Linked DNA regions of Coturnix japonica. The main gene of each other region encodes a partner of the protein of the gene in region 7 in a complex. Links are inferred from orthologs where the notes say so. Each region holds a gene or a part of one and is shown on either strand. Other genes may lie near its edges. The genes, in order: SMARCD1, SMARCC2, SMARCC1, DPF3, SMARCD3, PHF10 and ARID1B.

Evidence for each region.
Region 1: ARID1B (region 7) and SMARCD1 share a complex: the UniProt entries of both Homo sapiens proteins name them as parts of the neuron-specific chromatin remodeling complex. The link is inferred for Coturnix japonica from reciprocal best matches to the Homo sapiens genes ARID1B and SMARCD1.
Region 2: ARID1B (region 7) and SMARCC2 share a complex: the UniProt entries of both Homo sapiens proteins name them as parts of the neuron-specific chromatin remodeling complex. The link is inferred for Coturnix japonica from reciprocal best matches to the Homo sapiens genes ARID1B and SMARCC2.
Region 3: ARID1B (region 7) and SMARCC1 share a complex: the UniProt entries of both Homo sapiens proteins name them as parts of the neuron-specific chromatin remodeling complex. The link is inferred for Coturnix japonica from reciprocal best matches to the Homo sapiens genes ARID1B and SMARCC1.
Region 4: ARID1B (region 7) and DPF3 share a complex: the UniProt entries of both Homo sapiens proteins name them as parts of the neuron-specific chromatin remodeling complex. The link is inferred for Coturnix japonica from reciprocal best matches to the Homo sapiens genes ARID1B and DPF3.
Region 5: ARID1B (region 7) and SMARCD3 share a complex: the UniProt entries of both Homo sapiens proteins name them as parts of the neuron-specific chromatin remodeling complex. The link is inferred for Coturnix japonica from reciprocal best matches to the Homo sapiens genes ARID1B and SMARCD3.
Region 6: ARID1B (region 7) and PHF10 share a complex: the UniProt entries of both Homo sapiens proteins name them as parts of the neural progenitors-specific chromatin remodeling complex. The link is inferred for Coturnix japonica from reciprocal best matches to the Homo sapiens genes ARID1B and PHF10.

Annotation. Positions count from the first base shown.
Region 1 is NC_029544.1:347,907-352,389, reverse strand, and holds the start of SMARCD1 (SWI/SNF-related matrix-associated actin-dependent regulator of chromatin subfamily D member 1), read left to right. Parts: upstream 1-1,600; 5' UTR 1,601-1,636; coding exon 1,637-1,804; intron 1,805-1,924; coding exon 1,925-2,112; intron 2,113-3,282; coding exon 3,283-3,325; intron 3,326-3,422; coding exon 3,423-3,545; intron 3,546-3,814; coding exon 3,815-3,943; intron 3,944-4,430; coding exon 4,431-4,483. UniProt on the Homo sapiens protein: Involved in transcriptional activation and repression of select genes by chromatin remodeling (alteration of DNA-nucleosome topology).
Region 2 is NC_029544.1:895,681-900,249, forward strand, and holds the start of SMARCC2 (SWI/SNF complex subunit SMARCC2), read right to left. Parts: upstream 2,975-4,569; 5' UTR 2,931-2,974; coding exon 2,820-2,930; intron 2,737-2,819; coding exon 2,617-2,736; intron 501-2,616; exon of another isoform or gene 495-500; coding exon 409-494; intron 135-408; coding exon 53-134; intron 1-52. Other genes in the region: RNF41 (E3 ubiquitin-protein ligase NRDP1), read right to left, coding at 4,389-4,569. UniProt on the Homo sapiens protein: Involved in transcriptional activation and repression of select genes by chromatin remodeling (alteration of DNA-nucleosome topology).
Region 3 is NC_029517.1:723,390-727,425, forward strand, and holds part of SMARCC1 (SWI/SNF complex subunit SMARCC1), read left to right. Parts: intron 1-199; coding exon 200-313; intron 314-1,139; coding exon 1,140-1,293; intron 1,294-1,941; coding exon 1,942-2,055; intron 2,056-2,483; coding exon 2,484-2,543; intron 2,544-4,036. UniProt on the Homo sapiens protein: Involved in transcriptional activation and repression of select genes by chromatin remodeling (alteration of DNA-nucleosome topology).
Region 4 is NC_029520.1:23,819,223-23,823,258, reverse strand, and holds part of DPF3 (zinc finger protein DPF3), read right to left. Parts: intron 2,657-4,036; coding exon 2,496-2,656; intron 1-2,495. UniProt on the Homo sapiens protein: Belongs to the neuron-specific chromatin remodeling complex (nBAF complex).
Region 5 is NC_029517.1:52,934-56,969, forward strand, and holds part of SMARCD3 (SWI/SNF-related matrix-associated actin-dependent regulator of chromatin subfamily D member 3), read right to left. Parts: intron 2,154-4,036; coding exon 2,031-2,153; intron 681-2,030; coding exon 579-680; intron 481-578; coding exon 427-480; 3' UTR 1-426. UniProt on the Homo sapiens protein: Involved in transcriptional activation and repression of select genes by chromatin remodeling (alteration of DNA-nucleosome topology).
Region 6 is NC_029518.1:36,960,268-36,964,303, reverse strand, and holds part of PHF10 (PHD finger protein 10), read right to left. Parts: intron 3,809-4,036; coding exon 3,725-3,808; intron 2,379-3,724; coding exon 2,245-2,378; intron 2,131-2,244; coding exon 1,981-2,130; intron 1,112-1,980; coding exon 1,002-1,111; intron 255-1,001; coding exon 101-254; intron 1-100. UniProt on the Homo sapiens protein: Involved in transcription activity regulation by chromatin remodeling. Belongs to the neural progenitors-specific chromatin remodeling complex (npBAF complex) and is required for the proliferation of neural progenitors.
Region 7 is NC_029518.1:46,525,698-46,529,706, reverse strand, and holds part of ARID1B (AT-rich interactive domain-containing protein 1B), read right to left. Parts: coding exon 3,375-4,009; intron 2,490-3,374; coding exon 2,359-2,489; intron 395-2,358; coding exon 1-394. UniProt on the Homo sapiens protein: Involved in transcriptional activation and repression of select genes by chromatin remodeling (alteration of DNA-nucleosome topology).

The DNA.
Region 1 (4,483 bases), on a different chromosome or scaffold from region 7:
GTGCACGGGTAGCATTTCACCGAGCAGTGAACCAAGCAAACCCTCAGGCTGAGGGAAGGAGAAAGGACAAGTGTAAGGAGACACTGGGGTTATTTCACCCTCCCTTGCTTCTTATGAAACACAGCTAATGACAGAGGACAAGGAGAAATGGCATCAGAACGTCCCTGGAGAGGGGGAGCTGGGGCAACACTGTGCTCAGCTCTTAGGAACCCACAGCTCTTAAGTGTGGGTTGGATGAGTGGACAAGGGCTGAGCTGTGAGAAAGGAGCTCTGCAAAAAAAGACGTGGGTCTCTTGGTGGCCAACGGGGTAACCATGAGCCAGGAGTGTGACAAGAAGGCTAATGATACCCTGGGGTGCACTGCACAGAGCCTGGCCAGCAGGGTGATGGAGGGAGGTGCACCTCCCCTCTGCTCTGCCCTGGGGAGGCCACAACTGGAGCACTGGGCTCAGTGCTGGGCTCCCCAGTTCCAGGCAGACAGGGAACTGCTGCTGGAGAGAGACCATTTCTCAGCTCAGCCCTTCCTTATTTCTATATCCCTCCCAGCCACTTCCTAACTCTGTCCAAAGGCTCCTGCCGGGCTTTAAGCCTCACTTGAAGTTGCTGCATCTGAACAATACGGAGCAGATAAGTTCCACCGCTTCTCCTCACCATGAATATTTCATCAGGCAGCCAGGCGCCAAGGCTGTGTTGGAGGTGGCATTACATTAACTGCACGGACACACGGATGCTGAGACAACAGCTAATGGCTGTGCTCACGGCATCGTGTTTTCTATCGAGGTCAAGAAACACTGAATTTGGTGGAAAAGATGCCAACAACTCCCCACTTTTCTCCTCAGTCAACAATGCCATGCACTGTACAGGACAGCTTCCTAAATGGCCTGTGATTATCATTAATTGCTTAATTAATACTTGCGGTGTGGCTGCTCTCTTGGATTTTATTCATGGATTAATGCAGGCTGGATGCAGGTCCCTCTGCTCTATGAGCAACCACACGGATGAGTGCCCTGGGGACAAGGAAAGTAATGCTAATACTTGCAAAAAGCGGCCTTTAATTCAGCGCTGTGCCTTCTACTGAGGGAGGGAGGAATCCTCCTCCAAGCATCCCCAGCCCTAAGCAAAGCAGCCCCAAACACGAGCACAGAGCACCTGTAAGAACAGGGGACCCCCACCCCAACTCAGTCACAGCATCGAGGCTTAATGAGCACCATCCTCCAGCACCTTGCACCCTCAAAACACTTTCCTATGGTCCATGCATGTCCCCAGGACGCAGCCCCTTCCCACACATCCCCCCCTGCAAATACCCCATCCCATCCATGGTCTCTGAAACCCCCAAACCCAACACCATCCCATAGCCCTCTCCAAGTCCTCTACCCCCACCCACAGCCCTCCCCACGCTCTACACCCCCCACCCCCACCCCAGAACCTTGCCATACTCCCCCAGGCCCCTATTCCCCCACAGTAGTGAACCTTAAACCCACCCACGACCCCCTCCCCACCCACTACTTCCCACCCCCCGCAGTTCCTCCCGCCGGCAGGGGGCGCTCTCTGCAGCCGTTGCCGCTCTAGGCCGCTGTCCGCGCTCTCTCTATGTCAGAGCTCCGGTTCCGGCCCGCTCCTCTTTGTGCTGGACAAGATGGCGGCGCGGGCGGGCTTCCAGTCAGTGACTCCCAGCGGTGGAGGCGGCGGGGCCGCTACCGGGACCGGAGCGCTGGGTCCGGGCACACCAGGCGGACCGGTGCGCATGGGCCCAGCCCCGGGACAGGGCTTGTACCGCTCACCTCTACCAGGGGCCGCCTACCCGGTGAGGCAGGGGAGGGGCCGCTGCGGGGCGGGGCGGGAGGGAGTGGGGGCGGCGGGGCCGAGGACGGGGCCGGCTTCCCCCCGGGTGGGCATTGGAACGGCTTTTTTCTTCCCCTTGCAGCGCCCTGGGATGTTACCGGGCAGCCGTTTGGCACCGCAAGGCCCCTCTATGGGGCCGCCCGGGTACGGTGGGAGCCCGGCAGTGAGGCCCGGTATGGCGCAGGCCGGCCTGGATCAGGCCCGTAAGAGACCAGCGCCGCAGCAACTGCAGCAGGTTCAGCCTCAGGCGGTGCCCAACCGCAACCACAAGTAAGAACCGGGGGTGCTGGGGGGCTCAGGGAATAGACGGTGCGGGGGGGGGGGGGGGGGATCAGGGCATCCTTGGCCATCCTTAGAGCTGTGAGTGGGGGGAGGAGCTCGGGTCATTCATAGGATAACTATGGGGTAGAAAGGCTCTGGGGACATCGTTGGGTGTCCTCTTGGCAACAGGGGGGTTCTCAGGGCAATGGGTGTCCAAAGGATGCTGCCAGGGCAGTGGGAGGCTTAGGATATCCTTGGGTATCCTTGAAATAGGAAGGGTTCCTGGAGCAGATGAGGGTCCCAGATCTTCCCTGTGCTCCTCCAGGGCAGGGGAGGGAACAGTGAAGGTCTCAAAATGTCCCTTGGGCATCCTCAGAGCAGCAGGGGTCCTGAGGACATCCCTGGGATGGCAGATGAGTCTTGGGCATATCCTTGGGCATTCCTATGGCAACAGGGTTCCTCAGGACACCCCGAGGGCAAAGAGGAGTCTCAGGGCATCCTTGGGTCCAAGGGGTCTTCGAGGTATCTCTGTGCATCACCAGAGCATTGAGGGTGCTCAGGGCATCCCCAGGTGGACGTGGACACATTGCTTCTCTCCTCATGAAGCCCCATGGGACGAGATCTGTGTATCAGGGTGAGGGCAGGCATCACTGAGCTGCAGGCTCTCTCTGAAGGGGTCAGCACTGACTTGGTGTCATCTGCTGGCTGCTCAGAGCAGCACAAAGCTTTTCTGTGTGCAGAGCCAGGCCTGGGCCTCTCATTGCTGCTTTTTTTTTGTTGGGTGGCTGAAAGAAACTTTGATGTTCTCGTGCAGCTTCGTCTCTGGTAGAGGGGAATTTCCAGCAGATAAAAAAGTAATGTGCAACTGCTGGACAAGAGCAAGTTAATGTTCAGTTTCTGATAGTACAATGTGATGCCTTGGTAACGTTGGTAATGCATCTCTGAGTCTCCTAGAAAAGTCTGTCTAAAGCACATTGAGCCATAAGGCTTCCTTTCCAATGATGCAGCCTTGCTTTCATTGCTTTCCTTGGGGATGTATTAAGGCGATCAGCTGCTGCAGGGCTGAGAGCATTGCTGATGCCCTGGTCCTAAAACACAAACCTCATCTCGCTCCTTTTGTGAACGTCCAGTGTTAATTAGCAGAATGGTTGCCATTTTAATGCTCTCCTTACTTTACAGTGCTAAAAAGAAGAAGATGGCAGACAAAATTCTACCTCAGAGGGTGAGTGGCATGTGCAGTTGACAGCCTCTGCTGATATGGAGATGTGGGGGAACTGACAGTGATTTGCATTCTTGATTGGCTCGTGTTCTGCTTGTAGATCCGTGAACTTGTGCCTGAGTCTCAAGCTTATATGGACCTGCTGGCCTTTGAAAGGAAATTGGACCAGACGATCATGAGGAAACGCTTGGATATCCAGGAGGCTTTGAAACGACCCATTAAGGTAGGAGAGGGACATTCAGAGACTTACTGTTATCAGAAGAGTAGGAGGGCTTTGAAGGTTGTGTCATAACCCTATAAGCATAGAGAGAACTGTAATGCCCAGGACTTAAGTGGGGGGGTAGAACCAAGACTGCCTCTCTCTGTGCTGTTTGTCCTGAGAGTGGATGTATGAGGAAAAGAAGAATATTTAGCTTAGTTTTAACAAAACATAAGCATGATTCTCATCCCTTTGCTTCTGAATGAATACTGAGCTGATGCTTTTTCTTGTAGCAAAAGCGAAAGCTACGTATTTTTATCTCCAATACCTTCAATCCAGCCAAGTCGGATGCAGAGGATGGTGAAGGAACAGTGGCCTCCTGGGAGCTTCGAGTAGAAGGAAGGCTGCTAGAAGATGTGAGTGTAAGGCACCCAACTGCAGAGCTGATTTGATGGGTCTGGAATTGGAAATTGAACCAGTTTCTTAGTGTCTGGGAGTGTAGCTAAGGGCTTGATATCCTCCTTCATCTCTGTTTTCCAAGGAGTCTGATGGTGACGAGACCGAGAGCCCAACTCGGAGACCGATGGGTATCCCCATGGCAGAACATGAGTTATACAAAGTTCTTATAGCTATAAGAATTAATGGTGAGAGCCGATCAGTAGCACTTGTGTACCCTGGCTCTTAGAACCAGGGCACTCGCATTTTATGTAATTGCTGAGTAAGTTAATTCCTCCAAGCTCATCTTTATCTCCAGTCTTTCACCATTTTTGACTTGGAACTTGATTTTCGAGCATGTGTTGATGAATGTAAGTGTTCACAACTTAAAGGAACACTGCTGTGCACCTTGCCTGTGCTTGAGTCCTGGAACTTGCTCTCCTGACTCTCTCTTCCTTCCTGTGTTGCTTGCAGTCTGCTTTGTCCAAATACGATGCCACCAAACAGAAAAGAAAGTTCTCATCCTT
Region 2 (4,569 bases), on a different chromosome or scaffold from region 7:
AGCTGGGAACAAATAGAGGAGGTGGGGAGGAGGGGAGGGAAGCAGCTCCCACCTGCACCAGGGATTTCTCGATGGTCATAAACATCTCCACGTTGCGATCCATCCGCGAGGGATTCTGGAAATCGAAACGCCGCCTTATTGGAAGAAAAGAGCGACTCTCATGAAAGCCACAGCTCAGGTCTCCTCATCACTCAGCCCCATTTTACCCATTAAAGGGGGGTGGGGGGACACCCCAACAGGGATCTGTGTATGGGGCTGTGACCCACAGATGGGCAGCCAACACACTGCCCAACCCAGGGCTGTAACCGCCCCCATTGTGCCCCATAGAGCAGACAAATCTCTGCCTCCCCCCTCCCAACCCCACCACCACCCTTAATTCCATCCCATCCTCCCTATGATGCCGCTCACCATCCTTGGTCGCTCTTGAACTTATAAGCAGCCGCCAAGATGTGGCACAGGGCTCCCCCCGCCTTGAAATCCAGGAAGCATTTGATCTGGAAAAGGGGATGGGAGGACTCGGGGGGGGGGCTGCCCCACAGCGGGCAATACCCCACAGCGGGCAGTGCCCCACAGCAGGCAATACCCCATACATAGCAGGCAATGCCCCACAGCGGGCAGCACTGGGACTCATCCCTTCTCCCTATTGTCCCCATTGCTGTCCCTGCTCCATGCCATGGGGGCGACCACCCCAACAACCCCCCCGCCCAACCCCAGCCCCAAAGAGCCCCCCAAAGGGATGGGAGTGGGGAAGAGGAGGGTCCCCATGTGTCCATCCCTCCCAGCTGGGCCGTGTGGGGCCTGGGGGGCTCTCGCAAAGACCCCTCCAAAGGGGGTGGGGGGTGGGAAGGGGGAGGGTCCCATGTGTCCCCCCCCCACCAAGGCATTGCAGGACCGGGGGGGTCTCACAAAGACCCCCCTAAAGGAGGGGGGGGGGGGAAGAAGAGGGTCCCTATGTGTGTCCCCCCCAGCTGGGCCATTTGGGGCTGGAGGGGTCTCGCAAAGACCTCCCCAAAGGGGGGTGGGGGGGTGGGTCCCCATGTGTTCCCCCACACCAAGGGCCGGGGGGGTCTCGCAAAGACCCTTCCAAAGGGGGTGGGGGGTTGGGAAGGGGGAGGGTCCCATGTGTCCCCCCCAACCCAGGGCATTACGGGGCCGGGCCGTGCGGGTCCGGGGGTGTCTCAGGTCTTTCAAAGACCCCTCCAAAGGGGGTTGGGGGGTTGGGAAAGGGGAGGGTCCCCATGTGCCCCCCCCCCAGCTGGGCCATTTGGGGCCGGGGGGGTCTCGCAAAGACCTCCCCAAAGGGGGGTGGGGGGGTGGGTTCCCATGTGTCCCCCCCAACCCAGGGCATTGCGGGTCCGGGGGTGTCTCGGGTCTTGCAAAGACCCCTCCAAACGGGGTGGGGGGTGGGGGGTGTCCCCATGTGTCCCCCCCAACACCAAGGCATTGCGGGGCCGGGGGGGTCTCGTAAAGACCTCCCCAAAGGGATGGGGGTGGGGAAGACCCCTCCAAAGGGGGTGGGGGGTGGGGAAGGGGAGGGTCCCATGTATCTCCCCCAACACCAAGGTATTATGGGACCGGGGGGGTCTCACAAAGACCCCCCTATAGGGGGGGGGGGGGGGAAGGGGAGGGTCCCATGTATCTCCCCCAACACCAAGGTATTATGGGACCGGGGGGGTCTCACAAAGACCCCCCTATAGGAGGGGGGGGGGGGAAGAGGAGGGTCCCTATGTGTCATCCCACATTTGGGGCCTGGGGGGTCTCACAGAGACCCCCTCAAAGGGATGGGGGTGGGAAGGGGGAGGGTCCCTATGTCCTCCCCACCCAGCTGGGCCATTTGGGGCCAGGGGGGTCTCGCAAAGACAACCCCAAAGGAACGGGGGTGGGGAAGAGGAGGGTCCCTATGTGTCCCCCCCAACACCAAGGCATTGCAGGGCCGGGGGGGTCTCACAAAGACCCCTCCAAAGGGGGGGGGGGGTCCCACGTGTCCCCCCCAACCCAGGGCATTACGGGGCCGGGCCCTGCGGGTCCGGGGGGGTCTCACAAAGACCCTCCTAAAGGAGGGGGGGGGGGAAGAGGAGGGTCCCCACGTGTCATCCCACATTTGGGGCCGGGGGGGTCTCGCAAAGACCCCTCCAAAGGGGGTGGGGGGGTTGGGAAGGGGGGGGGTCCCCATGTGTCCCCCCCCCCCCCCAGCTGGGCCATTTGGAACCGGGGGGGTCTCGCAAAGACCTCCCCAAAGGGATGGGGGTGGGGAAGACCCCTCCAAAGGGGGTGGGGGGGTTGGGAAAGGGGAGGGTCCCATGTGTCCCCCCCAACCCAGGGCATTACGGGGCCGGGCCTTGCGGGTCCGGGGGTGCCTCGGGTCTTGCAAAGACCCCTCCAAAGGGGGTGGGGGGGTTGGGAAGGGGGAGGGTCCCCATGTGTCCCCTCCACCCCAGCTGGGCCATTTGGGGCCGGGGGGGTCTTACAAAGACCCCTCCAAAGGGAGGGGGGGGGGTCCCATGTGTCCCCCCCAACCCAGGGCATTACGGGGCCGGGTCGTGCAGGTCCTGGGGTGTCCCTGGGGGGGGTTGCGGGGTTTGCGGGTCCCTTTGTCCGCCCGGCCCAGTCACGCACCGGCAGTTTGGTGAGCGGCGCGTTGCTGACGTGCTTCCCGAACACTTCCTCCTGGAACTGCAGCAGTTGAACCACGAGACTCGACAGCGATTTGTTGGTGGGGGGCTCGGCCTGGATGTACTGCGGGAGGGGGCTCAGCCTCGGGCCTGGCTCCGTGTAAAGCGGAGCCGTGAGGCCTATGAGGGATCCCGAACGATCCGTACCTTCTTGTAGTTCTTGCCCAACCAAAGGCGGACGTTGTCGAATTGACTGACGGTGTCCGAGGCCTCGTAATATTTGACGTTGGGGCCGCCGTCCTTCTTCCGCACCGCCATCTTCCAGCGGGCCGGGCCGCTCCCCGCCGTGACGTGACGCAGCGCCCCCTGCCGGTAACGAGGGGTACTGCAGGACGGCGCCCCCTGCCGGTAATGAAGGGTACTGCGGGACGGCGCCCCCTGCCGGTAATGAAGGGAACTGCGGGACGGCGCCCCCTGCCGGTAATGAAGGGTACTGCAGGACGGCGCCCCCTGCGGGCAGAACAGGGGTGAGTGTGCACAGCGCCCCCTGCAGGCCGAATGGAGATGAGTGAACACAGCGCCCCCTGGCGGCACGGAGGACCCGATGGATGGGGGCGGTGTGCCGGGTCTAGGCGGAGCGCGGATGAGGGAGGCGCTGAAGTCACGGTGGCCGAGAGGTGAAGGCGTTGGACTCGAAATCCAATAGGGTTTCCCTGCGCAGGTTCGAATCCTGTCCGTGACGGAGCTTTATCTTTTAATGGGGGGGGGGTCCCTTTTTAATGTGGGACTCTGTATAACACGGAGCAGTTCAGAAAGGCTCGGCCCCTTTTAGTGTGACCCCCCCCCCGACCCCTCCTAGAGCAGCCACAGCTTCGCTACAGAAACCAGAACAGCCGTTTTTATTGATCGCTGAACGCCCCCCCCCCCCCCCCCCCCACCAACAAGGGGGGGGGAGACCCGGAACCGCATCGTACAGACAGCGGAAAATAGGGGGAAGGGGGGGGGAGGACCGTAAAAAAAACCAACGTAACGAATGAGAATAAATTAAAGTCCCATAGGGTGAATGGGGGGGGGTAAGGGGGGGTATGAAGCCATCGGTGGCACTCCAAAATCAAAGGGGGGGGGAGGAGAATGGAGGGGGGGGGTAAGAATGGAGGGGTGGGGGAAGGCTGAGTAGTACAAAATAATACAGAACCACGAGCACGAGTGGCTGCAGAGGAACAGCAGTGGGGCAGAGGGGGCTCCTATTGCCCCCCAGGGTGGTGCCAGACCCCCTCCCTGCTCCCCCCACCCCCCCCCCTCATTGGCTCCCCCTCGCCCATAAATGCCCAGCTCTGCCTTTAGGGTTAAATGGGGAGAGGGAGGCCAGGCCTGGCCCCCTGGGACAGACACAGGCAGCATAGGGCAGAGAGCACAAGGGAGGCAGCCGGGGGGGCTGCAGGCACAGCGTGAGCATCCGTGGGGCTGGAAGCCCATGGGGCTGGAAGTCCATGGGGCTGGAAGTCCATGGGGCAGCAGCCCAGCAGTACCCGGGGTGCAGCTGTGCCTCCTCTGCCCCCTCTGAAGACACCAAGTGGGGATATGGAGCTGCAGGGGGCAAATGGGGGGTGGGCTGGGGTGGATGCAGCGGTTATAAGGGGGACTTGGGGGGAAGGGGGGGGGACATGGAATCGTTTCATCCAGCTGTGAGCAGAGCCCGGCCATTGGCAGCATCCACCCCAGGCCTCGGTCCCAGCCCCCTCCTCAGCACAAAGCATCGCTTCTTCCAACGTCCATTTATATTTCCTCCACTCCGTGTGCAAATATCATCACCAGCCCCGGCTCCAGCACCATGTCCTCACCCATGTGCTGGTTCTCACAGGCCATCACCACCACGGCCTGTTTGCCTGGGATCCGTTTGGCCACGTAATTCTCGTAGTAACGTCGGTTCATCTGACGGGTTTCCAACGTGGCCAGG
Region 3 (4,036 bases), on a different chromosome or scaffold from region 7:
ATGGGCTGAACCCCACAGCTTGCTCACTCAGACTGCTCTGAAGCATGGGGGCAGCTCCTGCTTCAGCCCTTCCCAGCTCTGTGCATGGGGAGTGCTGGATCAGTAATAAGGTTGTTAGGAGAAGATGAATCCTAAAAGACATGATAAACTCCGTTAGGCATCAGCATACAATGTGAGCTGTGTCCCACCTGTCTTCCAGATACCTGGCTTACCGCAACTTCATGATCGACACCTATCGCCTGAACCCGCAGGAGTACCTGACCAGCACCGCCTGCAGGAGGAACCTGACGGGAGATGTGTGTGCTGTCATGAGGTGAGGGAACATCCATCTTTCAGCCAGTGCTTGCATTAGAAGAAAAGGAAATAGCGCGGCTTTGGTAATGGAAATGCTCTGGTAGGCAGGATAGGTGTGGGTAGCGGAATCAATTGAGTTTGAAGAGGCCATTTAAGGTCATCTAGTCCAGTTCCCCTGCACTGAACAGGGGCACTACAGCTGGCTCAAGTTGCTCAGAGCCCATCCAGCCTGGCCCATCCATCCAGTAGCCATTGTGCTGTCACTTTAGCAGTCTGTTCAGCCTCCTCTTGTAACCAGAGTATGTTATACTGTCCTTTATTTATGGAGTTCTGGGTGCTCGGTGAACCTACAGAGTTGGGGTCTTAACCTTTAGTGTCTGCTCTTTATTAAGCGTGTGGAGTTCATTTCAGAGTTCCTGGGTCTGCAGTTCAGTTTGGTTGGTTTGCTGTGTTTCACCAGATTTAAGTTGTGAGGTGCAGCAGAGCCCTGAAATCTCAGAACTTGCTGATGGTAGATCCAATATGAACAGCTACAGGTGGGTGAGAGAAGAAAGGGGTTGTGCAGCCCTCACATTGGTATGATGTCTGCAGATGGCTCCACATATGCAGCCTGAGCTTTACTTCATCTTTAAATAGATTTCCTGTTGTTCTGTTCCCGTGCTATATGCTAGGTGTCATGCTGGAGAGGTAATCAAGTCCACACAGTATGCCATATTTATTGCTCTTGTGATCAGTGAAGGTCTGTAGGAGGTGATGAGCCAATCTGATCCAAAACCAACCATTCCTTGGCTGTCTTTGCAGTCTTGCTTTGTTTCTTAAGATGTGGGTTTGTCCTGTTGTTTCAGAGTGCACGCTTTTCTGGAGCAGTGGGGTCTCATCAACTACCAGGTGGACCCGGAGAGCCGCCCCATGGCCATGGGCCCTCCTCCCACCCCTCACTTCAACGTGCTGGCCGATACACCCTCCGGCCTCATGCCTCTGCACATCCGTACCCCACAGGTGAGCCCTGCAGTGCCCTGGGGGTGGGAGGTGGCAGCTCTGGTCAGTGTCGTGCAGGAGAGTCTGCACATGTTGCTCATGGAAGGTGTTCATGAGTTCAGAATGGGTCAGTTGAGTCATATCGTATCATATCATAGACTGGCCTGGGCTGAAAAGGCCCACAGTGCTCATCGCATTCCAACCCCCTGCTGTGTGCAGGGTCAGCAACCAGCAGCCCAGGCTGCCCAGAGCCACATCCAGCCTGGCCTTGAATGCCTGCAGGGATGGGGCATCCACAGCCTCCTTGGGCAACCTGTTCCAGTGCATCACCACCCTCTGGGTGAAAAGCTTCCTCCTAAGATCCAACCTAAACCTCCCCTGTCTCAGTTTAAAACCATTCCTCCTTGTCTTATCGCTGCCCACCCTCACAAAAAGCCATTCCCCCTCCTGTTTATACACTCCCTTCAAGTACTGGAAGGCTGCAGTGAGGTCTCCGTGGAGCCTCCTCTCCTGAATCAGATCCGCACTGATGCTGTGTAAAGACATCTCCATAACTCATCATGTTGAGCTGTTTTGTTGGTTCTGTGTTGTGCTCAACCTTTGTCTGTAAACTTGGGGGATCCCTTTCAGCTCCTGACACTCCGTCCTTCCTTTCATGTTTGCTCACAGATCCCAGCTGCTCAGCAGATGCTGAGTTTTCCTGAGAAGAACAAAGAGAAACCCACTGACCTGCAGAACTTTGGGCTGCGCACAGATATTTACTCAAAAAAGACCTTAGCAAAGGTAAGTGCGTTTGGATTTCTGTTCCCCTGTGGCTTCTATTAAGTGGGTTCTATCAGTTGTCCTCCTCCAGATGACAGTGAAATGACTCGTTACTCTCAGATTCCCACTTCAGTTCTCACTGGAGGACACTGAGATGCCTCGCTGTATTCATGTTGGGTAAACAGTTTTGAAGGAGAGGACCACGTGCCTGTCCCAAACTACTCAGTGCTGTCAGTCTACAGACACTGAATTTGTGTTATCCTTATTTGATATTTTAATTGAATGCTTCGAAGTCAGCCAGGTGTCAAATAATTCAGTACAGAACCAAGAATCTTTCAGCAGAATCTTGAGTATAGAACTCAGGATCTGTCAGCAAAGTGCAATGTCTGGCACTTGGGCTGGAGGAATCCCAGTCATGAATACAATTGTGTTTTCCTCATCTTTTATAGAGTAAAGGTGCCAGTGCTGGAAGAGAATGGACGGAGCAGGAGACGCTGCTGCTGTTAGAAGTAAGTTCCTGGGGGAAAATGTAAGGCCAGGAGACAAAACCATGTAGGATTTTATACAGTAAGGAAAATGGACACGGAGGTTTAGTGGGTTCTTTTGAAGTCGGGGCAGATGGCAACAACATCCTTTTTGCTGCAGTTCTGAGACCCGGCAGACGTAGCTGGAGGGATGGGTGGTGGAGCTGTGTGTGCACGAGGCTGCCTGCTGCTGCTGTGCCTTTGGAGCTGGTAAAAGGCTGGGGCTCTCCCTTGAAGCTGTATCTCTTTCTTTGTCCGTCATCTCTACCAGAGCGCTGCTGCTACACAGATAGAGTGGAAGCATCTTGTACTGAGGGGACATTATGTTCTTTAAGGTTCACTTCTATCTGATTGTAGCTACAGCCCAGGAATTAAATGCTTAGATATGTTTGCACAGAGTCGAGAGCAGGTCTTGCAATGCAGGGAGGTCTTTGCATTGAGCAGCAGTTAGCAGCACACTGTGCCCTTCAAGGAATGGTTTATCTGCATGTAAGAACATGGAGAAGTTCTCTTGATCTTTCCAGGCTCTCCAATAAGCCATAACATGTTACAGGGAGCTGCAAACAGCCGCTCTGGAAGTTGAATTATTTAACACGCAGATTGTTTTCCTGTGCTCTGCCTCTTAATAAAGGAAGCTTTTAATTTGGTAGCCCTTGCATCCAGCACGTTAATTCATTCCAGGTGTGGCTGTCAGTCTGCACACTGCTCCATTCGGCCTGGGGAAGGACTTTGCTTATGGGGGAGAACAGTGAGGATGTGCTGTTCTGGCAGGGCTAATCTCAATGTGCTGCCTTCTTTTACTCCTGTTCCTGATAGGAAATGCTGGTGCCTCACACACAGCAAGCAGCCACCTCATGAAGTAATCCAGGCAGCATATTCATTTTTCTTTTAGGAAAACAAACAAAGCCTTGAGATTGCAAATGTATTTAATGCGAGTTTCAATTATTAATGTTCCTCATTCTTTGTGGATTTAACCTATGAATTAATCAGTACAGAGAGAATATCAGTTCAAGCGTAAGTAATGCAGCTGTAACGAGGCAGCTTGGTCCAATTAAATCCTCGGGGCGGCTTTGGGCAAATATCTGTGTGGTGCAGTTCCAAAGAGCAAATGGTACCTAAAATAGTCATCTCAAATAATGCCCATCCTTCCTCCTGTTGGCTGAGCAATGGGAGGGGTTGGCTTTCCCTGCCTGCCCCACTGCTCTGCCCCTCCGTGGTGTTCCAGAGCTCTCAGCTATTCCTAATAGGACTACAGAAATCTACCAGGGAGTGAAGGAGAATGAGTAGAAACCTTTCACGTGGCTGCAGGACGCAGCACTCGATCTGATGTGCTGAGTGGCTGCAGTGGGGATGTGATGACACGTGGTGGGATGGATTTAGGGAATGTGTGATGCTGAATGTGGGGTAAATGCTTCCCCACGAGTCTGACCCAGTGAATTGAGCAGTGTCACATTGCTTTAAACACTGCAGCAAGGGAG
Region 4 (4,036 bases), on a different chromosome or scaffold from region 7:
AACCATTTGCTTATAGAGGAAATAGCAGAACCTGCAGTGAGTTATGTTGTTTATCTCATTAGTGTAGGAGAGTCATAACTCAGAGCTCCTGTGAAAGGCTGGGGGAGGAGGAGAGAAGAGGGAGGGAGTTATGTGCAGTATTGTGTGAAATTAACCCTGAACTGTTTATCATGAAGTGCAGTTTTCTGACTCCCTTAACAAAGAGGACAGTGAGAAACCAGGTTAATACACTGAGATCCCAACTCTCCTCTGTTTTTCAAACTCTCTGTAAAAGAAAATGGTTCCTGGATCTTTGCCATTTGTCTTTATACAGTTTTTCAGGTTACAGATAGTAAATGGCAATGAACATAGCCACCTTAGTATCCATCTTGTGTGCTGGTAACAAATTTTTGAAGATGTTCAGTATGAGCATAAGTACAATGTGTATAGCCTGAAAACAAGGACACTAAAACTAAACAAGGATGCTTTGACCCACCATAACAATACTACAAGAAATAGATGATGCAAAGAGACCCAAGGGAGCACTAAAGGGACTAATAAAAATCAAGAAAGAGCAGAGCAAATATGGGGGAGGAGGGCTGCTTCATTTTGCACTTATTATTCTAATTTAAAATAACAAAGACATCAGATTTGGTGGCTGAAACAAGTGCAGAAAGCCTGATTCGCTTAAGACTCTCTATGAGGAATGTTCTGCCATTAGTTCCCACTGGAGCCACTGACTCTTTTGCAGGGGAAACCACAGGAAAGTTCAGTAACAGAAGTGAACAAAAAGATTTGCTCAGTGCATTTGCCAAAGGTCATCCATAGAGCCAGTGACAGAGCTCTTGGCTCCTGGTGTGATGCTGTAACTCTTTTAGGATGATTTCCTCCATAAATGCAGAGACACCAATGAGACCCATACAAGACTACGTTTGCTTAGTTTGTAGCAAGTGCTCTTGCCAAGACATCATTTGTGTATATAGTGGATGTATACATGTTTATTACTGAGTTTACAAGGATTAAAAAACAGCATCTTGCTCATAACTTGATGTTACAAGAACAGAAATTGCACAGCCAAACTGATTAGCCAAAAAGAAGAAAAAGAAAAAAAAGGAAAGCTAGCTTTGCAAAAGCTAACAATCTCTTAGGAATTAGGAGGTTTTACATTAGAAAGAAAATAAAAAACGTGGTCACAAACCACATTTAGCATCTCAGATTACTGGAGTAGTTTCGGCAGTTGAAATATTCTTAGGATATATTTAATGTTGGTGAAACACCTGCTGTCTCCTGCAACAGAAGTGGCTGCATTTTACTACAGTTTTCTGGCGGTACTGCAAGACCACACCACACCTACTTTGAGTTTTTTAGGAATAGAAGCAATGTAAAGATATGCCCCCTCCTATCCTAGGAAGCGTTTCAGATAAGCACCCTTCAGAGGCATCAATTGATTTCCTAGTCTGCTCACAGGAGGGGAGGCAAATAACATTTGTGTTCCTCCTGCTACAGCTGCTGCAAGGTAGCCAGTGGAGGAGGTAACAGCAGCCTGCACCTACACACAGTTACAGGTCTGGATTTTTTTCTTTTCTTTTTTTCAGTATGGTTTACAGGAATTGACAGGGATATGTGCACATGGTCAGTGTCTGAGCACAATTGACTCTTTCCTGCCTGGATTCTCCAGTACGCACATTGGGAGGGGAGAAGCGGGGGAAACACAAATCCACTCCTGTATTGTCAGAAAATCCATGCCTGTGCTAACTGTGGATCAGATACTGAGCCACACTCTAGCAAAATTCTCACTGGGTTTCAGGAGTTCTGTTTAAGTAACATCAAGCCTCTGAACTGGTGATTGTCCTCTGCTTTCAAAACAAGCATTTCAGATGGATTTACACTCTAATGAAGGAAGGACTGATCAAAGCCTATTAAAATAACAGTGGTCTTTCCCCCTCTGGACAAGAACTTAGCCAAAGGTATTTGAGGATGCATACCAATTTTTTTCTGCAGCTAAGGAAACTGAGGCTCCAGAGCTGATATCCAAACTTGTCCAGAACAGAACTAGAAGTTATACTTACATTTATAATCATCAGAACAACATTCATTCCAGAAGTTTGACTCTCCTGTATTTCACCTCCACTGTAAATACTGCCCGATACAACCCCTTATATTCACCATTCACCTAAGACTTTCACCTCTGCTTCTCCACCCTGAACATAATTTCAATCCTGCTTACAGAGCAGGGTATTGTGCCTTCTACAGACTGGGATCAATAGCATTAGAAGAGCTACAGTGATACAGCCTTAGAAACTACCATGTCAGGCACTTCTTCGGGTAGAGAGAGAATAATTAGGATCAGCTCTCTGCAGTTACCAAAGGAAATCCCCTGCAGGCACAGAGGTTTAGGCAGTTTCTCTTCTGCATGGCCTGTAGCAGGTTTGAGTTCCTATTAATTAAATCCCATGAGGGCTCAGTGGCCAGACCTCCAGACATGTGCACGCACATGCAGACACAATGCTACCAACCTGGTCCCCTGTGCCGCTTCTCCATCCAGATGTAGCAGTTGTTCTGAGCAACCCCAGTCTGCGAGTCCAGGAAGGGAAGGCGAACGCTCCGCTCAGCACACAGCCGAGAGTTGTAGCTGCGACAGTGCTCAATTGCTTCTTTGTAGAACTGGTCCCCAAGCCTGCCAAAAGAGACAGAGCGGAGATTAGAAAAGGTTGCTCTTCTCCTTAAACAAGACTAGGAAAAGGCGGGCATATATGGTTGTCTTATTCAAATAGGCAACCAGAAAAACTTCCCCTGAACACGTGAAAAGCTGACTGACACCACACACTACCAAAGCAGATCATGCAGAAACTGTCAAAGGATGATACTCTTTAGAAACCAGACACAGATCTTTTCAGAAGGCATTGTTACTGAATGAGCACATGGTATAACCACACTGGCTCCCGACCCAGGGCCAGGCACCATGTACACAGCAGTGACCTCATTCTATTGTCTCTCTTCCCCAGTAGTTTGCCCAGCCAAGTCAGCACACCACACATGTCAATTTTGTGCTATAGCAACTCCTGCAGTATTGTGTGCAACCAAAAAGCCAGACAGGTTTACAACTTCAATCCAGCATTTCTTAGTCCAAAGAACCTGGAAGAGCAAAAGACACAGTCCTCATATTGTGTGTTTCAGAGTCGTGAAAACACACATGTTAATAGCTTGAGCCATGTTTGCAATGCTTACACTAGTTTTCTCTCTACCATTCCAGAGTTTTCCACAGTCGGGTTTAAGGCACCAACAGCAGCAAGCTACAATAGCAGTTGGTAGGATGCAGCATGGCAAATCCTTTGTTCTGGAGCTCAGTGGGAAGAACCATGCTAAAGACAATGTCACTTGTTTCATAAATATTGGTTCAAAAATTCTGACGAATCTTCATATTCCCCTGAGAAAGGTTTGAAAACTGCCTGCTGGAGATTACCAAAATCCTCCCTCCAAATTGTTCTAAACAGGGAAAAGCATCAAAGTAGAGCTACCCTAAGGACACAAAGCAGCTGTCATGCTGGAGCACTGCAAAGTAGGTGGGCCACACTGCTGAAACCTCATTCTTGATCTACTGTCAAGGTGAAATTCAGTCGTGACATGAATAGCTAGGAAAGCTACCCATCAGGGGTAAGTTCATTAGAAAATAGGAGCAGAATGAGATACAGCTTAACTTGCTCTGACTCCAACATTCATTAGTGTGCAAAAAGAGTATAACACACAGCAAGGGAGCTGGAGGGATGCACGCACAAAGGTAAAAGAGGCTCCCTTTGCTGTTCTGTTAGTTGTTTATCTACTACCCTCTTGTATAGGCACAACTGCCATTTTAAGATGCCAGATTGGTGCAAATCACTATTTTTCTGTATCTGACAGCCTGATACTCCTTTTTTTATGTCACTTGTCATTTTCACCTCATGACTTTCATGGGAGCAGTACTCTTTCCCCATGGGCTGTAACGGTGTAGTATTTTCTTGTTGACATGGGGTGATATCAGAAACTTACTGAAGAACAAAAAAAACAGGCAGACATCTCT
Region 5 (4,036 bases), on a different chromosome or scaffold from region 7:
GTAACACAGGATGAGCATTACCTTTATTTCTCTAAATCTGTAGTCTTTTATAACACTCAGCTCAACCTCCCCCATCAATACTATCCATGATTCTATGCATAGCCCATAAGGATTTGCTGCATAGTGTCTGAACTTTCCACTAGAAGTCAATGGTGCAAGTTGATGAATTAATCTTTAATCTTCTTTATCACTGACACCTGTATAAAGCATGGCAATCTTCTGCTATCTATGGCCTGGAATGATCTGAGACACCTCCCATGGGCGCTGTTTTCAAGGGTCACTCTAAAGCTGGTGTTCTGACTGGTTTGTTGATGGTACATTCCCATCCAGTTAGGAAGCAGGTCCATGTGTAACAGTGAGCAAAGTAACACTGGGAAGTCCACTTGTTCTGTGGTCATGATGCCAATGTGATGTTTTGAGCAATACTTATGTGTTGCGCACTCCCAGAGACTGTTCCAGTTCCTGTCGGCGCTGCTGAATCTGAAAGAAAAAGAAAAACTGTACAGTTCAGCAGATTCAATTGTTCAGTGACAGAAAGATTCACTTATGAGTTATTAGTGTGGCTAACTCCATCATACCTTGCAGTAGAAATATCTGCTCACAGCCTCTTGAGACCATGGCTCATGATAAAATTCAGCTCTGCGTTCTTCTTCTGGATTTCCAACTACATCAGTCATCACCTGTGACAAAAATAAAAATACTTTTCACTACAGCTACTTTAACATGTAGAGAAATATTAGATTTACCTGGGATCAAAATTTATCTGCAATGCTAGTTTAAAAATATTCCAGACTGACCTCTAAGCCCAAGGCAAATGAAAAATGAATGGCATGAATGGCATGTGTGGTTACCGCCAGTACATGACAGTAATATGCAAATTGTGAACAGCTCCTAACCTCTGCTCCAGAGCTATGCTAAGGAGTAATTCAGCTGCCCAAGCTAAGTACTATAGATCTCTGATGTCTTAACAGCAGGGAGAACACTGAACAAATGCTCTATGTATGCAGCTACAGAAGCTCCACAATACCTTAGTTCATAAGCTCTTCAAGCTGAAGGTATTTTTGAACATTCCCTTATATATCTATTCCCCTCTTGAATATAAATAATAATCAGAATATTAACAATAGATCTTTGGAAGATTATTGATTAACAAAGTAGATGTTTATATTTGAAGGACAATCCATTAAAATAATTTCACCGCTTTATTGATATAACTGGTTTTGAGGTGTCTGATTTAAAGATTCAAAGTGCGAAACATTGTGAGAAACAAACTCTTATTTTGCTGGCAAACACCTGAACTTCCTTACATTCCATTTCTTGGAAATTTAAATGCTTAGCTAAAAGGCAGATGATATTTAATCTGCTATTTCTTAAACAAGATTTAATTATGAAAAATAACAAAGCATTCAAATTGTGTTACTGTGCTACAGAATCCTCCTACTAAGTTTCATATACCTTTAATTTTATTGAGTACTGTATGGGAAACTGGTAATCACAGCCTGAACCTCTTATTAATCAGCTGAGGCAAGTGTCGGGTCAGCTGTGGGAGCACAGGTGAGGGTAATTCAGGTGGAGCTTGACTCCACCTCTCCTAGACTTCATTTAAGGGCTGACCACCACTAAGGCAGTATATCTTTGAGATTGTTCCTCCATTGTCAGCCTCAGCATTTTTCCAGCTGGACTGTAGGCATCTGTGTTGGTGAGTCTTTCCTATATATATCCTTTTGGATTTCTATCACCATCCTTGTATTATTACTATCTTTTGTATTATTCCGCCTTACAAGTACATCAACATATCCTTGCACCTCCATTTTGCTTTCTAATAAAAAGTTCACCTAGTCCCTATTCTGGGAGTGTAATATAACCTAACTGGTCTTTCCTGTATATTTTCTGCTCTAGGATAGCAGTGTTACACTTGTCTGTCTTCTTCTTTTCTACCAATTTTCTATCCTGGACATTTTAGCAATACATGCTATACACATTTAACTGTAGTCATTATACTCTTGCCCACTCTTCAAATCGTAGCTCACCTTAAGATCCCTGCTTTGGGACCGGAGAAGGTCTTGGATGTATCCTTTGGGATCTTTGGAGAAGCTCAGCATGAAATCACGCTGTGTCTTCAGCTGGTTGATGGATTCGATGGTCTCATGGATCTAACAGAAAAAAATAAGCTAGATGTTACTTAATTCCTCCCAGGCTTCCACGGTCCTGAGGCCAGCCTCATTAGTGTCTTTGCGGTTCTTGTAACATGCAAAGATGACAGTTGTACACCAAAGACCCATGAATGATCCCACTGAATTTTCCCTTCAAAGTAGGAGTTAACCCTCATCTTGAAATTACATCTTGATTTCACATGTATTTCTGCAATACAAGCATATTCTTCACTTCCTGCATTGAACTGTTGGATGGCACATATATACAATACTGAAGAGCCAAGTCTTGCTCTAATGTAATGATTTCTTGTGTATAAGCAGTCTTTTCACCAAGTCAAGGATTTTTCAGTTAAGGTACTGTATGTTTTTAAACAGTACAATGCTGTATGTTTTTCCAATGCAAGAAAGCAGTTATTTCTCAGGTTAGTTATCATTATGTATGTACCTGTCAGCCAGCTCTAACTGCTGTGCTTGTGCATAATTCTCATCTAATAAAACAGGATACAATTCTGCCAAACAGTTCCAAGTTATTTTTCTGCCATTCATTTTCTACTGTTGCTCTCAGCGCATCAAGCTGCTCTGCAATCGTGCATATACAGCACACATAAGAAATATGGGATTATCTTAGCTTTCCTACATAGAAATTTAGCAATACTTCATGACATCTCAATAAAAGTTTATAGATTCTTGAATACACTAAAAAAGAGCAGTGCTGAGCAGGAATTCTGAGTTTATTATCTCTGCAAATTTTATAGGAGGCACTCATTCTGGAAAATTACCTAGGGCAGAACAACTATATCTGGACTTCTAAATATTTCTGCATTTATAAGTTCTCTCTACAGTCAAAAGAGATCGTGACAATACAGTCACACAGAAGAGACCATAGAATAATTCATCTCATCCAAGAGCAGACATTTGCTATCTGATCAGTTGTATCATGTGTATACAGTGTAAAAGAGATTTAAAATTGTTCAAAAACTAAATGTAATGCAGAATATCTATTTACCCAGACAGTCCCAACATTTTAGCTTTTTTTTTTTTTTTATTTCTTTTTCTTCCACAGTAAAAAGTGGAGTGCAGTGTTCAAGAGGTGTCTGGATGAGGAGCTACAAGATATGGTTTAGTGGCTTGCAGTAGTAATGGTAGTGGGAGGATGGTTGGACTTGGATGATCTTGGTCCTTTCCAACCTTGTGATTCTATGATTCTGTGAAAATATAAGCACCCTGGTCAACTCACTTGGAAGTTGTGTCAGTGTTACCAGCCCAGCTGTTCCTAAAGTCTTTGGTTCACTCATCTCTGTTCATACTCTGCAAAAGACTGCTTCCTTCAACCTATCCAAGCGTTAACTCAGCTCCTTGCCTCCTTCTCATGTGGTGCTCGGTGATATGATTTAGCAGAGGGTAGTTAGAGCTAGGGTACTATGGTTAGGCTGTGGTTGGACTTGATGATCTTCGAGGTCTTTTCCAACCTGGGTAATTCTATGATTCTCTTTTTCATTAGCATAAATCTAAAGCAAATTATTTTTCCTTCCCAATTTATTTATCACCACTATTAATGCCTCAATAAATGTCTGTCCTTGAGACTCTTATAGCTCAAAACATGCCATCCATCATTTAAACTACAGTATTAATCTTTCTTTATCTGGGGAACTACAGGCCTGTCAGCCTGACCTCAGTACCAGGGAAAGTTATGGAGCAAATCATCTTGGGTGAGATCATACGGCATGTGCACGAAGTCCAGGGGATCAGGACCAGCCAGCACAGGTTCATGAAAGGTCGGTCACGCTTGACCAACTTCATCTCCTTCTACGAAGGGGTTACCAGTTTGGTAGATGAGAGAAAGGCTGTTGATGTAGTATATGTAGACTTACGCAAAACCTTTG
Region 6 (4,036 bases), about 9.6 Mb from region 7:
ATTGTAATAGGAAATTACTGAAACTAAAAAAAAAAAAAAAAAAAAAAGCAAATAGAAAGGATTATTTTTGTTGTTGAAGAATACTTTCAATGTGTCTCACCGAATTGCCTTTGGTTTTCCGTTTCTCGTCACCTCGCCCTTCCTCTGCATCATCTGAATCCCCGTCACTGTCTAATGCAGGCAGCTCTGGATCCAAAGGGGGTTCGTAAAGAGCTGTGTTTAATGGTAAGTAACGAAGTTCATCTGGAGAATATCTGAAGGTAGTAAAATAAATAAATGAATGCCTGTGCGCTTTATGCGTAGATATTACTCACAAAATATGTATGAGAATTAGAGAGAAAGAGTAAGAAATGTAAATAATTCCAACCCTCCTCTTAAGGGAAGCACATATAGACATGCACTTCTCAAAATATAGGAAACTTACGGAGTTATCCCCACAAATGTTACACTGTTTAGTACTTGTCATCTTTGTGTAGGTAGATATTCGTGGAACACAGGAAGAGTATATTTGCAATGTTGCAAACCTGAGCAATCATAAAATACCTGAATGCCTACAAATTTTTGATCAATCCATGCCAACAAACCATATACTTTGTTTATAGAAGTACACAGCATCAGTTCTAACCCACAACACACAAACGGCTGGGGTCCAAAGCAAAATAAGTAAAGATGATAGATTCCAGATCAAGTTTCATGATTACTGAAGGGGGAAAAATTGCAAATAAAAATAACTACAGGATAATGTCAAGATCTAACCAGATTATCTGAACAGACCAAATTCAGGCACCACAGTACATCAGAGAAGGAGACACTCTAGCAGCAAGTGCTACATACATGATGTTGACAAAAGCCCCCATGCTGCAGCACATTTATTAGACTAGCGAGGGCCTCAAGCATAAGAGTAATTCAAAACTCTGCTGCAAATATACTCAAATGTTTTCCACGAGCTAGATGTAGAGATCAGTTCAAAAGAAACAGCAGCTGCAATGCTTTTAAAATACCTTTTGTAATACTCCTGGAACTGGCCGGGTATGAGAGCCACTGGATAAGGACTAACCTTTGTTCTCTCCGTAGGCAAGATTTTGTATTTTCCTTGAGGCACCTGGATAATCTGTTGTTTAACACAAAACAATGAAGTTCTTGTTTTGTAAACTTTTAAGCTTTCCTTACCCTCCATTTCCTGAAAATATTTATGCGTGTGCCAGTTTATGCCTTTTACTCAATTAGAACAGCTACCTGAGCTCTCCCATGGAAAATTCAACTCACTAAAATGACGAGAGATCCCACTCGTAAAACAGTATTACAGATTTAAGTCTAATCAGGATGTGCTTGATGAATTGAAAGAAGACTGTTTCTAATAGTACAGTATGTAAAATAATTTAAAAATAAAAATCTAGCAATTGAAGCAGTAATCGTAAACTTCTGTGAGAAGTATCTTTGATGTTAATTATTATTGTGGGTCCATACTGGTAGAGGGTAGCAACAACACTGCCATCTAATGCCAAAAATCAGACTGTGCCACTAAAAAATCCCACAAATAACACAAATACAGGGAAAAAGAATCTTAAAGAAGCCTTCTTTCCTTAGAAATGAGTCAAATTAATTACCCACCATCTTGTTTCTAATGTATCACTGTCAGGAAGATGTCACCTTTCCATAATATATTACATATATATTCGATAACATATGTAGCATCTAACAAAAATAAGGGCATAAAGTTCGATTCAAAGCATTCTTTCAGATAAACAGCTTAACTTTTAAGTAAATAGATTGTTCAGAGAGAATTTTAGAAGCGTTCCAAAAGAGAACTGGCCATATATATCAACAGATATAACAGAAGCTTCTTAAAAGTCCATATGTCTCTAAAATGAGACTAATGAACCCCCTGAATGGTAAGATTGTTAGAAAGGTTCTAAGAAACACCCTTACTAAAACGAAGATCTACCTTTCAACATTGATAAAAAAATATAGTTTGCCTACATGTGTCTGTAAATCAAAATAGGCTCTTCTTTCTTCCATTCGCTCTCGGTTTAAATTGCTGTTGAATTCTGCAGCCTTCTTGGCAGCTTTTTTAATATATTCTGGAACTTTACTGGCTTCTACTTTCTGTGTGTTCTGCTGCTGCATTTGCTGAAACAAAAACAATCTTATTAACTTACACACATTTCACCACCAGTTTGCGAACATTTGTTTTTATCTTCCATGCTACAGATCTGGTTCACTTAACATATTCTATTTACTTACAGAGTACTCTTTGTAATGATCTGTTATTCGCTGACGTTCTTTCTCTTGCAGTATAACAGAATACTCAGCATGTTTGGCAGGGTATTCTTTAATCATAAGATCAATTACTTCATCACTACGCAAAGCTGTTAGACCTAAAATAGATAAAAGCAATAATGATGCTACCTGGCAAAACCAACCGTGGGTTATTTATATCAAACAATCATCAAGTGAAGTTTTTGAGCAGCTGAAGACAATAACCTACAATGCACGACACTTCACCCTCTGTCACATAGGAGTGAACTTATGACATTTAGCTTTTGAGGCTGATTAAGGTTTTGCTTCTTCCCAAGGAGGAAAGATTCTTCCCTTGCTTACAACTACAGAAGCTAAACTTCATCTTCACAGTGACTGTCACCTACTAAACTTCCCTAAGAGGCAGAACTTCTGCTGAAAGCAGGACCTGGTGATGTTTGTTTCAGTTTCTTGTACTGGTGAATGGCCAGTTTCACTGCCTCACACTATTTTAATTTCAAGGTCAGGTTCTCTGTACAAATCAAAAAAGAATCACTGTGAGGTCAATTCAGAGCAGCAAACTGCAGACAGATGCCTGATTCCTGATTAAAGTATTTCAAGTTCAAAAGTCAGAACATGTCATTTTGCAGCTATCAAGTCACGCAGAACATCTCTTCAAAAGATTCCAATGAAACTAATACTGTTTACAACAGGACAGAAGTTGGCGTATGTTATCACAGGGACAGCTGATGCACCACATGCCTCTGTTGTATATCTGAGATAGAATATAGCATTTTGCTTCTACTGATAAAAATTAGATACGGGTATATCCTGCATATTTAAGTAAAACTTTCAAGAGAGCTGGCAGCTGAGAAACAAAGGCAGTGTACCAAGGACTGTTAATTTATAAAGTAATGTAATTAACATCTGCACAGATCCATGGGTACACTGGGAAAAAAAAAAGTGACAGGCATCCTTTAATTTTTAACACACTCCAAGTCACACATACTAGCAGAGGAAGAACAAACACTTGAAACTCTTCCAATATAAATTGCATTAATGACAATGTTCTATTGCATATGCATTTAAGTGGCTTAATATTCACCCTTCTGACATCTAAGACATAAGCTCAATTCCATGGAATACACTAACGTTTGCTGAGTCACTACAAATTCAGCCAAAAATACAGATGGAGTTTTAGTTTAAAAAATCATGCTGTTCTTTTTCTGTTAAGGAGAAAAAGGCTCTAAAAGCCAATTTACAACATAGGTTTTACTAAGAAATTGGAACAAAATTAAAATGTATGTTTTTATGATCAATATTGAGCATTGATATCCTTTGGCCAGTTTACATAAACAAAAATATAAACTAGTTTTCAGGTCAGAATTTACATTTTCATTTGCAAGTGACTTCTCTACCAAAACTGAATCACATTTTCAGTGGGTCATTTTTTATACTTTAGCGAGGAATCTTATTCTTCTCTTACCTAACGTGCATTGAGTCTCCGTGATAACATTTAGTTCTCTGAGGTAGAGTTTCTCCTTGTGAGACAGATCTCGTCGTTCCAGATCTTAGGGGTAACAAAAAACAGCAACAAAAGCATATAAAGTTACTCAAAATCCCCCATAAATAATGTTAAAGCATTTTGAGAATTTTCAGGTAATGAGTCTGCACCATACAGGAAATGAAATACAAACACAAGGCCAGCTTTACAGTAAGAAATCACCAACTAAATACTTTGGAATTAAGCTGGGGTCAGTCTTCAAAAGCTACTTACTGATCTAACACTCAATTCATT
Region 7 (4,009 bases):
CCTGAACGCGTCCAAGTTTGTCAGATCGGTCAACAACAAATAGATTATTTTTCTTTACAATCTTTATTGGCAGCTTGTCAAATTTACTGGCTTGTTTTGGCCTTTCACTTGGATCAGCAATGGCACCAGGAGTGGAAAAAACAATGCTCTTTTCTTCTCCTTCTACGTTTTCATCCTCCCCCTCCTCCTCCTCTTCATCGAAACAGTCAATACATTCGTCACTCTCCTCTTTTCCAGTATCCTCTGCCAAGGACTGGCTATCATCTTTCTTGGCTGATTTGTGATCAAGTGCTTTGTGACCTGGATCTCCCACTTCATATTCCATGAGGATTCCAAAAATGTCAATCAGGCATTTTCTAAAATATTCTACTAAAAGCTCAAGAAATCCAGACAACTAAGGGGAGAAAAAAAAACAACATAAAAAACAAATATTTTTGACTGCATGAAATTTCATACGGAACACTAAATTGTACAACTTCCTGCCTTTTGCTGTGGACTTGTGGCTAGGTCCCTGCATGGCAGAAGCTAATCAAATGAAATTTTTCTAGTGTCTGTCTAATCAGTATGTAACACCAGACCACCACGATTCCATTTGCTTAAAACCTAACAGCTATGAAAAGTACAGTACTTTTCTTCTTATGCACTAGCACCTTAGCTACTTTTTAGCCTAGCTGTTCCATCCTGGGATGTGCCTAATATACTTTATTGTTTCTTCAGAGTACTGAAGTTTCTAACCCTCTTTGCTTTTCTGAATTGTACATTTATTAGACTCTGGAAGTTGACAATTCTTTATCTCTTCCTTTGTCTCTCAGTCTCTAAAACCATCTGTTCTGTTAGAATACACAGTTCAGGTTCGAGGTACTGATATCCCAGATTAGTAATCCATCTCTACTGGTATGACTCTCTTTTTGTGTGATGGTATTTCAAAATTGTCATTAGAGCCCAGTGGTGTAAGTCATCCTTCAGAAACAGTTTTCATTTAGCTTTAATCCTCTTAATTAACTGGTAATCACTTTCTCACAGAAAGGCAGTAGTTGGACTCGATACTAATTTACCCTCAGTTGCTTTATTATTAAAATCTCTTTACTGATATGATACATTCAGCCCAATTGTCTGCCTTTTAATGGTTGTTTTAATTGTGGGCTAACAGATATTTTGCAAAATGCATCCTTTCACCCATTCTGTATTCATACCATTGCCAAAAATCCCAAAGAAATGAGAACAAACAGATGCTTATAAACAGTGGGAATTATCGATTGTCATATGGAGTCCTGACTGACACTAGAAATCAAGTTCAAAGCAAAAGCAACCTCTAAAATCTAAAATGATCTGGTATTCTGTGCAATTTGCACAAGGTGTATTAATGCAGTCTCTACAGAATTCAGGAGATTCATCTCCCTTAATTCCAAACACCTGCAACAGTTACAAGCCTAATCATCTAGATTCTTTTTATAATCAGTGATCTTTTCAAGGCCATTTCCAGGGTATGATTCATCTGACCTATTTTAGATCTCTACTTTAGGATGAGATGAATTATGCTACAGATATCCCTAGTTCTAAAGTTAGGTGGAATGAAACGTATAATCTGTGCCTTTTTATTTTTTTTTAATTTTTTTTTTAAAAAAAAGGTCATTATATTTTAAAAAAGATGAGTTACACTATTAGTAGCCAGGGAGTGAGTGGAGCAGAGAAACTCCATTAGATGGCATTACCAGAACGCCATCTATAACAACCATCTAACAGGCTGATAGGTAGAGCAGGGCTGAAAAATGCTGGGAGGGAGAGAGGCAAAAGCATACACTGTTAAACTGTATGCTACTATCCTGTGTGCAGACAGTGGATTTTAGCCTTTTAATTGTTTGATAAACCTACTAGTTTTGTACAAGCTTACTTTGTGGGTAGAAGGAACAAAAAAACCCCAACAAAATATCTCACAGCCGAGTATAAGGACTAGTGAATAAGACAAATAGCAACTGAAAGACAGTCTCAAATCTAACATCATTCTGCAATGACTTTTTTGGAATGTTTTTTATGTGAAATTACTAACAATGCTATTTTCTGGGATTATCCTTGTTCAACAACAAATGTGAATTTACACATTAGTCTTCTGCCAGTGTTAACACTCTTACATTCCTATGTATTCCTTTCCACAAAAGCTGCTCTCCTTTTAAGCTTATTATTTCCCCAATTCCACCCTTAAGTACATTTTGTTACTCACTGTTATCAAATTACAAATTGAAGTTTTGCAATATTCTGACTTACGTTAACATATTTTAAGAGACTTCAGCATTTTCATATCTATTTTCTTAGTGTTTTCTTTCCTTGGAAAGCTTAGAGGTACTCTGCTTTCCCACCTACCTGAGAGAGGTTGAAAGTAGCGACAGTGCTATCATCATATAGAAGAATATTAATAGTGTCTAGCGCCCAGGTACTTTCAGCCAAAAGACCAGATTTAAGAGACATCATCACTCTCCAGGCCTCAGGAGTTACTGGAGAAAGAAAAGATAAGCATAAAACAGTATTAGTGCAACCTATGAGAGTTGAAGACTTGCGATGTTTTGAAAGAATAAACTGTGATGTTCTGAGGATGCAAAATATATAGGAAATAGTTACTGAATAATTACTGAAACACTGCTTAAGACCCTGGTTTCACCACTTAGCTCCGTTATGTTTTTCTCTCTTACTTAGTGCTAATTCTGGAGAGCATTTTAATGGGGCCATTCTTCTTGACCCTGCTGAAGAAATCATCTTACAAACTTTTAAGAAGCTGGCTATAACAAACAATACATAAATGCAAGTAGAATATTCTGTCATGAATATGGGAACCTGAGGTATGGGAACTGGAACATGTGAAATATAACAGGAATTCAAGATAAGAAGATACTTAGGAAAGAATTTGGAGAGAAACAGAAGTGGCAAATAATATGGCATGAAAAAACGGGCCATTCCGCCTTACTTAGGCAGACACTGTAAGGGCACAGAGCAATAGCTCTGTTGTGAGCTTCCATGGAACAAGAATGTGGAAATCTTTGCTCACCTAAACACTGCACCAGTGATTTAACAGACATTCTGGTGGATCTTTCAACAAATAGCATTTGGAAGCCCAGACAAGCTTTATTTTTAATGTAATATTGCACTTTTTGAGAACTCAGGTCTCCATACAGAAAACTGATTTCATATGGTGTTGAACTTGCTGGTATGAGATTTGTCATCCTCACTGATTCATATTCTATTGCATTTTTAGTGAACACATAATAGCTACCAAAGTTAATTACTTGTCAAAGCAGTCTTAACAAGTAAAGGAAAACAAAAACCAAAGATCCTTTCTCCCAACCTTGCTCCCAAAAGCATTTCGCTTTTGTTTCTGTACTTACCAATATCTTTTGAGGTAATCTTTCGCCTTGGTTTTAAGACTGGCTGCGATGCTTCTACAGAGCCTGGGGGGAAGGTAATTTCTCGCCTAATCGGTGGTGGTTGGGGTGGAGGTCCTGTGACCTGTGACACTGGAACTGTGGGTATAACCTTTTGCATCTTCATGGAGGGTAGGAAAGGAGACTTGCTTGGAGACATACGGTTTTCCAAAGAGCGCTGGAAGGATGCTGGACTTGGAGCTCTAGAGATGTGATTTGGCATAGAGGGTGGTGTCTGGTAGGATGACTGAGGAGGCCTAGTGATAGGCTGCATGGAGGCTGAAGATGACATATAAGAAGGCTGACGTTGGTTGACATGAGAAGGCCACTGACTCTCGTGGTTTATCCTCTGGTCAGGTACCATCATATCATCAGTGCGATTCATCCCTGGATACGGTGGGGCCTGTGCAGGGCCTCCTGGACCTTGCCTATTCTGGTAAGGGTAAGGCATATCGTTTCGTGTTGGCCACATGTTCTGCTGAGGACCTTCACTGGAGGATGATGACTGCATGGGGCCACCAATCATCTGGGGAGGTATTCCATGCTGCTGCATTTGTCCTGGGCCCTGCATCCTCTCCCTGTTATACGGATACGGATAT